Mus musculus: one gene and its partners. The protein of the gene in region 2 interacts with the protein of the main gene of each other region in a pairwise test. Links are inferred from orthologs where the notes say so. Each region holds a gene or a part of one and is shown on either strand. Other genes may lie near its edges.

Evidence for each region.
Region 1: the proteins of Gopc (region 2) and Fosl2 interact in a two-hybrid assay, tested with the Homo sapiens proteins (2 studies listed by BioGRID and IntAct). The two-hybrid records come from large-scale screens. The link is inferred for Mus musculus from reciprocal best matches to the Homo sapiens genes GOPC and FOSL2.
Region 3: the proteins of Gopc (region 2) and Cercam interact in a two-hybrid assay, tested with the Homo sapiens proteins (2 studies listed by BioGRID and IntAct). The two-hybrid records come from large-scale screens. The link is inferred for Mus musculus from reciprocal best matches to the Homo sapiens genes GOPC and CERCAM.

What each region holds. Positions count from the first base shown.
Region 1 is NC_000071.6:32,134,676-32,139,503, reverse strand, and holds the start of Fosl2 (fos-related antigen 2), read right to left. Parts: upstream 3,033-4,828; 5' UTR 2,801-3,032; coding exon 2,699-2,800; intron 1-2,698.
Region 2 is NC_000076.6:52,336,674-52,340,826, forward strand, and holds the end of Gopc (Golgi-associated PDZ and coiled-coil motif-containing protein), read right to left. Parts: intron 3,181-4,153; coding exon 3,050-3,180; 3' UTR 351-3,049; downstream 1-350.
Region 3 is NC_000068.7:29,867,857-29,872,525, forward strand, and holds the start of Cercam (inactive glycosyltransferase 25 family member 3 precursor), read left to right. Parts: upstream 1-1,637; 5' UTR 1,638-1,681; coding exon 1,682-1,869; exon of another isoform or gene 1,870-2,555; intron 2,556-3,166; coding exon 3,167-3,277; intron 3,278-3,418; coding exon 3,419-3,536; intron 3,537-4,669. UniProt on the Homo sapiens protein: Probable cell adhesion protein involved in leukocyte transmigration across the blood-brain barrier. Does not express any beta-galactosyltransferase activity in vitro.

The DNA of each region.
Region 1 (4,828 bases), on a different chromosome or scaffold from region 2:
AAAGAAAATCACAACAACAAAGCACACTCCAGGAGGAAGAGGTGCATCCACCTAGCTCCAAAAAAAATTAAATTGCCAGGGATTGATTAACCTTTGAGATTGAGATTATAGCTACAACAGGAAATAGTTTTCGTGTTTTGAGTTCCTGCCATAGACACAAGCAGAGGTCTTAACAAAGAGCTGTCTGCCTCCCACCCCACAGGTCAGTGGGGAAGTACTAGGTACTTAGTACTAAGACGCAGTATTAAGACCTTATGAAGCTAGATGTCGCGGGGGGGGGGGTCGGGGGGGGAGTGCCAGACAGCAAATTTATGGGGATACAGGACCCCACAAACAAGGAGAACAGGGGGAAAATAGTATGCACTTGCACAAGGAAAACCAGGAACTTCTCACAAGTTCCACTGATTGGATTGGTCCACCGTGCAGTCATAAAGGAGGAAGGCCCAGTCACTAACTGCCAGGAAAGCTTCCCCATGTAGAGGGCTGGGAGCAGAGCTGATTACAGACTTTATCTGGCATGTAATAAAGTTACCTTGAGCCCAGATTGGGGTGGGGTAGCAGCACAGACTTGGGAAGTAACAAAAACAGAGGCCTATCACTGGGACCACAGAACAGTTTTATAGACAGCCAGATCAGGGAGGGGGAAGCCTTCCCCCTGTTCCTCGTCTCCTACCCACCGCCCCGACAAGGCTGAGAGTTGGCTTAAGTGGCATTACCTTGCCAATCCCTCTGGTTTGAAAGACTTCTTGCTCATAAGGCTGAGCAGAATAGGCAGCTATACCTGAGAATCGCATGCACTGGTTGCTGCTAATTGCAAAATCCTCCTGTGTTACAGCATGCTAGGAATTAGCCAACAGCTGCTTTTTGCTTGGGTAATGAGGCCCTATTACACACTGCTGGACGGAGCTCTCTTCCTTCATCCGAGCATCGGTTTCCTGTCTGATTTGCTTCCAAAACAGGGAATTGCCTCCGCTCACATCCTGGGCTCAAAGCCCTAGTGACACAGATTATTCAGTTGGGGCACTGATGTCCGGTCTGACTTCCCATCCAGGCCCCAGAGTCTGAGCAAAGCCAGGCAGGGAGATTGTACTGTCAGTGCTCACTGTCTTGGTCTCATTAGTGGAAGAAACAGAAACGCAAAGCTTCTATGTTGGTTGGAAAGGAGAGGTACATGGGGTGGGGTTATTGGATTGGAAAGTAGGGGACAACAGGTATAAAGGACTCTAAACCCATTGATGAGTGATGTTTGGGTTCAACCCAAAACACCAAATGTACTGGGATGCAAACATAAGCGACTACTTCTCAGGTATGATTTGGGTGTTCAGTAGTAAGAAAGGGTCCACTGACTGGACCCTCAATGCTCAGACCAGGCTGTCTACAGTGGGTGCTTAGTAGGTATGGGGCTTGGGAGGAGCTAGACACAGAAAAGTCATTTAGAAGGACTCCCCAGATATGGAACATTACTTTGAGAGAGGTGCCCCTCTTGTCAGATTACAAAGAAAGCCATATTTTTATTATATTTCCCAGCTCACTCCACCCTTCCCTGGAAGACCCCTGACCTCCTATCTGGTTGACTTCTAAAGGTCAAAGTCAAGGCCATGGCTATTGGCTTATGGAGTAACTCTGGCTGCAGCCAGCTTGGCTAGGAACTCCCAGATGCTTGCCAAGGTGGGCTTCAGGTGGCAGAGGACCTTTTGAGTTCATGCAATTCCCTCACAAGATGGTGTTTGTGGTTCCTGCGACACAGGCCAGGTACCCTACCACCCCTACCGCCCCACCAATACCTGTCTGGTACCTACAAAGACACAGATTACAGGCACAATCCTTCAGTGCAAACCAGTCTGGCTGCTTTAGAAAGAGATGTTTTTCTACTTCTAAATCCACTCAGGAGCTCAAGCGATGTGTCTCTTTCTCCCACTTCTCTCTGACAGCTTCTTTGCCCCAGGTACCCCCAAGCCCCTCAAAGTTCTGCTGGGGGGGGGGGGAAGTACAGGCTCCTGCCCAACCCTTACCGGAAGCTGGAGGGGGGGTGTCACAGGAGGTGTCAAGAGCCAATCAAAGCCAGCTTCTTCCTTCCTGACCTTCGCACCTAATTCCCAGGGGCAACCCTCGCCCTCACTCCCAAACACTTGAAGGAGCCCAGCTTTGTTTTTGAGTCCCCAATCCCTTTCAGAAAACAGCTAAGACCGAAGAATAACAGAAGAAGAAAGGGTTAAAAAGCCTTCCCCCCCGCCCCCCCCCGTAGGGTCCTTGACGGCTGGGAGGGGCTTAGGGGGCGCAAAAATTTTCTTGCCTATCCACTACCTAGAAAGAGGAACGTGAAAAGGGAGGGAGAGCGGCTCGGAAGGAGGCAACAGGCTTCCCGGAGGGGACCTGTAATTTCAAGAGCTTTTCTGGAAAATTAAGTACGAAAAGGGGGAGAGGGTGTCGTTGGCTCTTCAAGCCCACTCTCCACTTGCTTAAAAAAAAAGAAAAGAAAAGAAAAGAAAAAGAAAAAGAAAAGTGGAGAGTGGGTAGGGCGGAACAGGAAAAAAAAAAAGAAAAAGAAAAGAAAAGAAACCCACAACTTACAGCGGTGAAGTATTTTTCTAGCCTGGCTAGGAAAGGGAAAAGAAGGAGGTTGGGGGTGGAGGCAGTGGGAGCAAGAAGAGGGTAGGAGTCTGCCCGCGCCGCCAGGTGCACCCCGGCCCGCACGTACCTGCTGGCCGCCGCCACCGCTGGAGTAGGACTCGGCGTGCGCAGGAGAGCCGCTGCTGCCCCGGGACGAGGTGTCAAAGTTCCCGGGATAATCCTGGTACATGATCCGCGGTGGGGGCCGGAGAGGAAACAGGGTGGTTTTCTTCCCCGCCCTCGCCGCGGCCGCGCACAGTCTGCTGCGCGCTCGCTGGTCCACCGGCCCGGCCACGGGCTGGGCTTTTCGCTCCCGGGATGTCCCCTAACCAAGGCAGACAGGAGGCAGCGACACTCGGGAAGTGACCCCCCCGATCGCCGCGCACCGCACTTCGTTTCTGCTCTGCAAGCTCCGCGGAACCGGTTGTCCACCGAGTCCCTCCCTCTAAAAAGTCGGCGCGTCCCTCGGTCCCTCCCCTGCGCGCGCCCTTCCGCCCCCGCGCGCAGCCGGAGCTCTGCCGGGACCCACGGGCTGGAGAAAAATGGGCAACGCAAAAAGACTAGGAGCCCCGCGGGTGTCGCTTGGCAGCTCTGGGGGACTCCCTCCCCGATCTCTCAGGGCGCCAAAAAGGCGAAAAAGAAAAGCTGCCGGTTGGGAGAAACTTCTGTTTCCTCCTTTTAGAAAAGGAGCCCGAGAATAAACTTCCTGTGGCCAACTCGCCGCCTGAGTTTCCCGGCGACTCGGACACTTGACTTAGGACAAGGCGGTGAGCGCCGGTCCAGCGGCCCCGATCGCGCCGGTGGGACAGCGCCCGTGGGATTCTAGGCTGAGCGGTGCTGAGAGGGACGTGGCTCCGCGTCGCAGTGACCTGCACCCCGTGCTGGCTCCAGGACCTGCCAAGCCTCGCGCTTCTCGCCTCGCTTCGCCCTCCCCTCTCTCCCCCTCTTTCTTGCGCTCGCTCTCTTTCTCTCTCTCTGTCCCTGCCGAGCGCCGCTCACTGTCTCGCTTCGAGCCCCTGCGCTCTGCCCGAGATGAGTCACTACAATGGCACGAGTTCAACTCCACACTCTTTATTCTCCAGCCCCGCACCATGTGGATCCACTCACGTCAACCTTAGACTCCACCTTGCTGGGAGGAGCGCTCGAGGCGGCGGGGGAGGAGGCCTGGGACAAGGAGGAGGAGGAAGAGGCGCGGGAGGGGAGGGGAGAAGGCGGGCGGGGCGCTCCCCTCCCGGCCTCGCTCGCGGTCGCGCTGACGCCAGCCACAGACCCCGCGCGAGGAAGGCGGGAGGCGGGGAGGGTGGGAGAGCGCGGCCCTCGCACTACGGGGGCGCCGAGGCCGCCCGCGTTCTCGCCGAACTCCTCCACCCCCCCTGGGGCGCAGCGCCCTTGGTCTGTTCCATTGGCGCACGTTGCCAAAGATGGTCATTTGCGTTAGAGGACGCGAATGCGGGTTTCCTCGCCTTCGGGTGACGTGGAGGGAGAGGGATTCCCTCGCCTGCTCCCGCCTGCGCCCTGGCCTCCCTACCTCCTCCCCTCCATCCCCAACCAAAAGGAAGGGGCGCGGGGCGGGGCCCCGAAAGCGGCCGCGCCGGCCTGGGCTCCGGGTTTTAGAAAAGGAAAAAAAAAAAAAAAAAAAAAAAATCGCAGCCCTGAAGACGAGACGGGCGGCTCAGTGCGGCGCCACCGCGAGGCAGAGAGCCCGGCGCGCAGAGCTGCTCGCGGGGAGGGCGCGGCCGTGCGCAGTCGTCCGCACCCTCAGCGGCGCCGCCCGGTACAGCGGGCGTCCTGGGCGCACCGGGCACCCGCGCCACCCTGCGGCCGGGTCTTGGCGGGGTGCGGCGCGGCGTCGCCAGGCGGGGCTGGCCTGCCCATTTTTCACTCGGAGCCTGGCTGCCCACTGCTTCCCCTTTTTGTGTGTGTGTGTGTTGTGTGTGTGTGTGTGTGTGTGTGTGTGTGCGCGCGCGCGCGCTTGTTTTTTTTTTTTTCTTTTTCTTTTTTCTTTTTTTAATTTATTTTATTTTGGCCTTCCAATTAACTTGCTTAGAAGTAGTATTGAAGATGAAATTAGCCAGTGAGACATTCGGGAGTCCTCTGTGCTACACAGTTATGACGCATGTAATAGTAGTAACCAGGTCTTAAAAGCAAATCGGGTTGTTTTTTAAAATACATAAATAAATAAATAAATAAATAAATAACTGGGGCCCGAGAGGTGTGC
Region 2 (4,153 bases):
TTTGGAAAACTCTAAACTAGATAGATGTAGGTGTCTATGAAAGAATTTCCTTTCAAATACAAGGATTCATACTATACTCTTATCAATGCTGTCCTCATTATGTAACTTTAGCTTTTAAGATCTGTAATACGAAACCAAGCCAAAGAGACCAGAGTTTCTTCCATCTGCTAAGTTTAAAACAGACTATCGATCCCAGAGTTGTTTTGACAGTTCCTAACTACCAGATTTCTAACTAATTCAGATGAAACAGTTAAGCCTAAACAATTCCTACCCAATCTATGATACTCTACCCCAGCAGCTGGATTCAGTCTTTGGGTATTTCATGACACAATGATACAAGTCACAGGAGCTACTCAGAACCCATAATAAACCAAAATATTTAATGTGAATGAAAGAGAAAACATTTATTTTCCTTCAAATCTGATCAATACTGCTTTAATGTAGAATATGTCATTTTTATTTACAGGCTAATTAAGAATATGAAACTCAACTAGATATAATACAATTATCATAAATCCCCTTATATGTAAATTAATATATTTTTTGTTTTAAAATATGAAAACAACATAAGCCCCTTGCTGTGGGGTCTATTCCAGCACCATGGACAGGTTATGTTATTTGTAATTGTTTAATTCTAATCAACAGACTTGCAAGCTCTTCATCTCTCTCAAATTTAATTTAACAATAATCCCTAACCCGAATACGTCACTTTCATCATGTTCAGAACAGAAAACTGCAGAAGACAATTTCACACAATAAGTGTGAGTATGTCCACGCACACACCTCTCATGCTCTACACGTTTTCATTGTAATGGCTTTGCAACAGCTTTCCCCCCATTTTTTGGCTTTGTTCAAGAAGAGTCAGTGTTATATGGGCATCTTTCCTATGAACATGAACTATAAAGACTACTTTTCACTTAGTGCTTTGGGACCACACACTCTGAAGTGAACTCTCCAGTGGGCCTGGGAGAGTACCAGGATGCTCTCAGAGCAGGTTTCACGCCACAGCACTCTCCTATGCTTCCAAACCAGAAAGCAGAGATGGAAAGACGGACCTGTAGAACCATAAACTACTCTTTCTAAATATATTCTGTACCCATCTCACACAATCCCTCCTAGGCAGCACATGAAAATGCTCATCCAAGTTTTGCTTTCACATCTGCTGTGAAGTTCTTGAAAAAATTCAAAGGGTTATATAGCTTACATTTCCTAGCGATTCAATCATAGTATATAAGGCATATAATCTATGAATAAAAAGGAAAATAAAATGGCCCTGGTCCTTCCCAGGCAATGCTGAAAGGATATAGGAGCAGCATGGTTTCAGGTCAAAGCAAAAATATTTCAGATCTGTTACCATGAACATTTTTTCCTTAAATGAATACAATGGCTACCACCTACTTTGAAGGTCTCAAGTCATGCACTGGGGTATGTGTTTGGTGTGGGAGGAATACTTGAGGAAAAAACAATCTTTCTTTTAAGAGGTCTAGCCTATCAGGAGCAAACAGTAATATGTAACGTGTTTATTCATTTGTACAGTTAAAATACTAACCTTGTTTACAGGCAATGTTACACTACAAGGTATCTCAGCATCACTAACAATATACATACGAAGTGCACTTTCAGTTACCAGTTAACATGGTGATACTATGAAGAACGAAACCACCCAGAGACCATAAATGAGCAACAGTTAAAAAGAAAATTTATAAATAGCAAAATCACAAAATAAAGTATATACATTTTATAGATTTTAACTTTGAACAAATATATAATGCATCTGGGAAAAACAAGCATACCAAGAAAGAAGATACTGATATTGTAAAAGCCCGATATATGTAGGCTTCTCCCACATAAGATTCCCTTAGGTGTAAATCCTTTAAAACAGTGACTTAGCAAAAATCACACCTCTTTAAGTACAGTATTTTCAGTTTGCCCGGCAGGCAGGGTGCAATTGTCTGTAGGTCAGGAAAGAAGGGAGCAGGCACTCTGTACTTAGTTCTGATACAATAGAACTAATACATTTACAGAGTTTGCACACGAGTATTGCTTTAGTCAAACATATACTGATATAAAAACCAATATGCTCACTGTACCAAAATGTCTTTACCTCATCTTGCCTACCTTGGCCCCCGGCTTTTTAAATGACTGGCAAGTCAGGTACTTAAAGCCAACTGCTGTTTGAACACAATGTATTTCATGACATAGTAATGTTCCTGACTATCACAAGACAAAGCTTGGGAACAGCTCAAAAATGTATAAAGCTGTTTTTCGTGGATTCCAGACAATTAACATTTGGGACTAAACATTAACAGTGTAATGCTCCAATACCATGCACACAGATCAACATAATTGAAAACAGGCCATTTTCCACTTGTCTGCGTTTCCTTTAAAAGTCCAAAGTCAAATGCACAGTAACTTTTCCCAAACTATTCCTAGAGCAGCATTGATTGATACAGGATTGCCTAAAGAAAACCGTTTTGTACTGCAGTTGAGTTACCTGGAGAGTGAACTCATCATAATGATTTAAGATAGTAATTAATTTAGATATCAGGAATGTACAAGATACTTTTTAAAAAAAACCTGAAACAAAATTTTCAATTAAGCAAAAATGTCAACCTAGATTTTTGCAATTCACTGAGTAAAGTTCTGTCATCTGAAATTCCGCAGTTATCCTTAGGGAATATATGGTATCATTTACTCTGCTGTATTTAAAGGGTACTTAGAGAATTCCAGTTAGCACTGTCCTGTTATACATGAAAAGGAGCCAAATGAAATAGCATCCACTTGGCCTGTAAGAGCCTAGTAAAACCCCTTTGGGAAACACATGCTTTGGTGCTTAGATTCCAGGAAAATCAAAACTGCCTTCCATGCAATAGCTAATTAAGGTATACCACAGAAAACAGGGGTTTATGCACTTAGAATTGTTCACATGAAGCCCTGAGGTTCCCGCCTTTCTCTAGGCAACACACAGCCTCCCTGATCTTGTGCAGTCTTTGTCACCGTCTTCTCTAGTGCCCCACACTCCACGAGTCTGACAAGCAGCGTGTCTGGGTTAGTAGGCCTTCTTCTGATGCAGGCTGTGCAGATGAGCCGCTCTCGCAGCAGTGTCATCCAGAGGGCTCTCACCTGCAGCCCCCACGTCCCCATTCTCATGCGCATCCCTCACTGCCTTCTTGTTATACCCTGGGAGACAAGAGCACAAAATACACCGTGTATTTCTGGCCAAAAATATGTCTAAGTTTTACAGTTTTACTAAGAAACAATGTTCAATGAAATTATTAGCAGCAATATAAGGCAAGCTAACCCTGATCAAATCAATAGTGCTTATGGGAATTCTTTCATCTTATAGCAGATAGGAAACATCATATACATTTTTAAAGTATTAACTATTGAAGCTACCTGAAAGTTGTGAAATAAATGCAATCCAGTTTTCTAAAAAACTTAGGGTTGACATACTAACTTATAAAAACCCAATTGTATTTATACAATTATTTACTGAAATACAAATATTTTGCTTCTATATAATTTAACTTCAATTCATTGAAATATATGCTAGTTGACTGCTAAACAATCTGTTGGCAAGATAATGTTTAGCTAGATATTAAAATAAATTTTGGTTAATTTACCTAACATATAATGGGGTTTTAAGTAAATATGACTGACTGAAAACCCCACTAAGAAGGTTAGAAAGATCTGTATTAAACAATAATCAACAGATAGATTTTACCTCAACACTTGAGAGGCTAAGGCAGGAAGATCCTGTGTTCAAAGACAGCATGGTCTACACAATGAGTTCCCGGCCAGCCTAGAAGTCGGAGGAAGATCTAAAACCTACCAAAGGTAAAGTTTTCATTATCTGACGCACTTAATAGTAATATGCTGTATGGCATGCATTTTGGCTGAGTCATATTTCTTTTTTTTGTTGTTGTTTATTTTCGAGACAGAGTTTCTCTGTGTAGCCCTGGCTGTCCTGGAACTCACTCTGTAGACCAGGCTAGTCTCGAACTCAGAAATCCACCTGCCTCTGCCTCCCGAGTGCTGGGAATAAAGGTGTGTGCCACCACGCACAGCTATGAGTCATATTTCATGTTTTAAGCATTTGCAGTTTACAAAGGTAAGAAAAGTTTTCTAACCAAGGCTATAAAATTATTGCTTT
Region 3 (4,669 bases), on a different chromosome or scaffold from region 2:
GGCCTGGCTCAGGCTCCCTACCCAGAGAGAGAGAGAGAGCGCGCCTCAAGTGCATTCATGCTCAAGGTCTCCCTGTAGCAAACCTTCACATTAGCCATCATCAGTCAGGTTTTACCTGTGAGAATCAGGAGACTCAGGGAAAGTGACTGTCAGAGATTGGTGACAGATACCCAGCAAGAATATCTTAAGCCCCTTTCCCTCATCCTTTTTTCTCTCCTAAGAGAGGTTGGAGATTCCCTTTCATTCTAACAGAGTCCCAAGATTTGCTCTGTCCCAAAGGAGGCTGTATCTCCTATTTTGGAAGCGGGATGGGTTGCCATCAGAGGTTCTGTGGTGACCCCTAAGTCCTACCCTCAGTCGGAGTGGGCTCTGCTTTATTATTACCATCATTATCATTATTATTTATTTGTTTAAAGACTTATTTATTTATTATATGTAAGTTCACTGTAGCTGTCTTCAGACACTCCAGAAGAGGGCGTCAGATCTTGTTACAGATGGTTGTGAGCCACCATGTGGTTGCTGGGATTTGAACTCCGGACCTTCGGAAGAGCAGTCAGGTGCTCTTACTCACTGAGCCATCTCACCAGCCCTTATTTATGTTTTAATGTTGTTCCCCTTCCCAGTCCTCCCTCCAGGATCTCCCCAATCCCACCTCCCTCCCCTTCGCCTTTAAGAGGGAGCTCAACCACCCACCCACCCGTTGTTCCCTCCTCACCCTTCTAGTATCCTCCTTCTTGGCGCATCAAGCCTCCACAGGACCAAGTGCATCCCCTCCCAAATAACTCTTCTTTCAAAAGAAAAAACAAACACATTGTGTCAAACGAAATGCTCCTCAGAGTCAATGTGATGATGTTGCTTAGGTCTTATTTGGGAAGTTAAAGATGCAATCTTTAATTTTATTGTATTAAAAAGCAATTGAAGCCGGGCGGTGGTGGCGCACGTTTTTAATCCCGCACTTGGGAGGCAGAGGCAGGTGGATTTCTGAGTTCGAGGCCAGCCTGGTCTACAAAGTGAGTTCCAGGATAGCCAGGGCTACACAGAGAAGAAACCCTGTCTCGAAACAAACAAACAAACAAACAAACAAACAAACAAAGCAATTGAAAGAAGGGCTTTGCTTTAAGGGCCGGAGCCTGCGGAGGTGATGCGAGGTCGCGGAAGTGGCCAGATCAGCTGCACTCAGTCCTCTCCCCCAAGCTTGGGCTTGCTCTCCAACTCATCGCGTCATCTGCTGGGTATGTGGAGTTACTGCCTCAGGCCGCCAGAGGGCGTCTCAGATGGAGCAGGGGGCGGGAACCTGGGCTCCTCGCGAAGACTGCAGCCTCCACGGCTGAGAGGCAGAGAGCCGGGAATCCCGGGTGTCAGTATTCCAGGAGTGAGATGAACGCCCATGGTACAAGCGGTCCACCATGGCCCACGGATCCTTCCTTCCGTGCCAACGCCTTCCGAGGTCCACACGGAGAAGGCGGACCCCAGGACGCGTCTGGAGCAGGTGCCTAACCCTGGACCTCTAGGGCCTGGGCGGAGAAGAGGACAGCGGAGCGTACAGGCGCCTAAGAGGGGCGCAGGGGCCCCAAGGCAGTAACCACGCCCCTCTAAGACCCCGCCTCCATGCCCCGCCCATCCCGCCCCCTCCCTACTGTGGTGGGAAACCCGGGGCCCTCCACAGCCACCGAGTCCCGCCATGCACGTTGCGCGGCTCCTACCTCTGCTGCTCCTGTTGGGGCAGCAGCTCCGGGCTGCCAGTGTCACAGAGCCGACGCTACCCACCGTGGTCCTTGCCATCCTGGCCCGCAATGCTGAACACTCTCTGCCCCACTACCTGGGTGCGCTGGAGCGCCTGGACTACCCCCGGGCCAGGCTGGCCCTCTGGTGAGAGATCCAGGGGTGGGTGCATATGGGCATCAAGCCCCAGGACCCAGGAAGGCTTTTGACCTGGAGGCCTCATTACTTCTGCCCAGACACAACCCGAACAAGCTCCTCCCTCCCAGACAGCCCTTCAACAGTATTCCTAGACCCCGCGGGGCAAGAATAGACCTCTGAGGCCAGGGTTCAGCCCAGGGACACTCACCCCTCCTTTGGGCTCCCTACATGTCTCGGGCGTCCCCGGCTTCCCGGGTTTCCCCTGGGTTTCAGTTAGGCCTGTCCTTTCTGACCTAGCCCTTGGGGCTCGGCAGTACATCGCAGTAAAGACCTGTGGTCTGCCTGATGTGCGGTAGAACAGACTGAACCTCTGGAATCCCCTGGGGCCCAGCATAGAAAGGATCAGTCAGACTGGAGGTTTCTAGAGAGCAGGTGGAGGGAACCCTCAGCTCCAGGCGGCATGCTCGGGTGCCCTTCTGAGTGGTACTGCTAAGCTTCTCTGGGTAGAGAGAGGGGCTGGCTGGTTCTGATAGCCAAGGGTGTGGTCTCATGGGACGCTGGGATCAGAGGTTGCAGTACCCTGTCTAAAAAAGTCAAAACAGGGAGGAGCCTGAGCAGAGGCTGGAGATAGAGTACTCCTCACAGCACACCAAAGTTGGGCTGGGGTGGAGCTGTGGCCTGGGGAGGCTGCCCACAGCCACCACACTTGGGGAGTTAGTTAGTTCCCACCCCTGTAAGACTTGACACGTAGTTCTGGGGAATTGGCTTAAAGGAACAGCATCGCCTAAAACCTGGGCTCTTGGCTAAGCCTTCCACCTCCATTACTAGAGCCCCCTCCCCAGCAGAGGGAAAGCTGTGCTCCATGGTAACAGAACTTGGATCACCACTAACACTTCTCAGGGGTTGTCGGAGCATGGTGTGAGCCTAATTACAGCTGGGGGGAGTTAGGTAAGGAGAGAAAGGCAATGACTGTTTTGTCTGATTCTGAGCTGGAAAAGGCCTGATGTGTGGAGCCATGAAGAGGGACGGAAGTGAAGGGACGTGGCAGGTGCAATCTTTAAGCTCAAGGGACTTTTCAAGTGCACTCAGGCCGAGGATGGCTCAGGGGTCAGGGGCTTGCTTGATGTGTACAAGTCTCTGGGTTCAATTCCCACAGTACAATGCACAAAATTAGAAGGACAGACGTGAAGCACAGAGAGGCATGGACCTTGCCTGAGGCTACACAGGACATCCTCCAGCACCTCCACTGGAGCGCACAACTCTGCCCCATCGCTCTCAGGACAGTCATTCTGTGTTGTGCTCACAGGTGTGCCACAGATCACAACATGGACAACACCACAGGGATGCTCCGGGAATGGCTGGCTGCTGTGGGTCGGGACTATGCGACTGTCGTCTGGAAGCCTGAGGAGGAGGCCAGGTGGTTAACCGAGGGCAAGGGTACTGGAAGATGGTGAACAGCTATTCCCCAGGGCACAGCCCCCAGAGCACGCATGTCTATTCTATGCAGAGAACGAGAGGCCCCTCTCTCAAGAGAGCATTTCACCTTTCTCCACTTCAGGTCCTACCCAGATGAACAGGGTCCCAAGCACTGGACCAAAGAACGGCATCAGTTTTTGATGGAGCTGAGGCAGGAAGCACTGGCCTTTGCCAGGGACTGGGGAGCTGACTACATCCTGGTAAGAAAGCCTGGCTACAGAGTATGGGGGAGGCCTCAGGACCTGCTTCCAATAAAGTCTGGTTATAACCAAACTGTCTATAGGACAGATCTTCTGAAGACTGAGCTGAGACCCCTGTATTTAAGCTCACACTAGATACTAAGCCTGGCTCCTTGTACAGGTCTTAGGTTATATGCTGTTCCTAGATTCCTGAGCTTTTGTATGCCAAGAGTATAAACTGAGCCTGGATCCCTGGATTAGAGCTCAGAATAGAATTTTTTTCCAATATTTTTGTTATGTTTGCTCACTGGGTTTTCGAGACAGGGTTTCTCTGTGTAATCCCGACTGTCCTGGAACTCATGCTGTAGACCAGTCTGGCCTCAGAGATCCTCCTGCCTCTGCCTCCCAAGGGTTGGGATCCAAAGTGTGTGCCTCCACCACCTGATTTACTTTTGTTTTTCAAAGGTGGGTGTCTTGGTGCATGCAGCCCACAGAGGGCAGAAGGGGGCCTGGAAGCGAACTCCACTTAGTAGTGAGTCACCATTGGGTCAATGGGTTTCCAACTCAGGTGCTCTGCAAGAGCTACCAGTCCTTTTTTTTATTTTCGAGACAGGGTTTCTCTGTGTAGCTCTGGCTGTCCTGGAACTCACTCTATAGACCAGGCTGGCCTCGAACTCAGAAATCCGCCTGCCTCTGCCTCCCAAGTGCTGGGATTAAAGGCATGTGCCACCACCCCCCAGCACTCTTTTTTTTTTTTTTTTTTGGTTTTTTGGTTTTTTGAGACAAGATTCTTAGATCTGCTACTTGCTCTGCTCTAAGCCAGCATCTCAGAATGGCCCTTTGTCAGAAATGGTTAGCCCCTTCTCATATCTGTATCCTGTATCCTGTATCCTGTATTATGTATGTATGTATGTATGTATGCATGTATGTATATATAAGTGCACATGCCATGGTATGTGTGTGCATGTCAGAGGATGGCTTTCCAGAGTTGGTTCCTTCTACTGTGTGGGTCCCAGAGACTGGATTCTAGTTGTCAAGCTGGGCAGCAAGTGCCTTTACCTTTCTAGGCGCCTCTCTCTGGCCCTGGTTAGATCTCTGTGTGCTCAGAGCTACTCTGAAGAAATTCCCCCTCAGTGAACTCTGGTCCCGAGTCT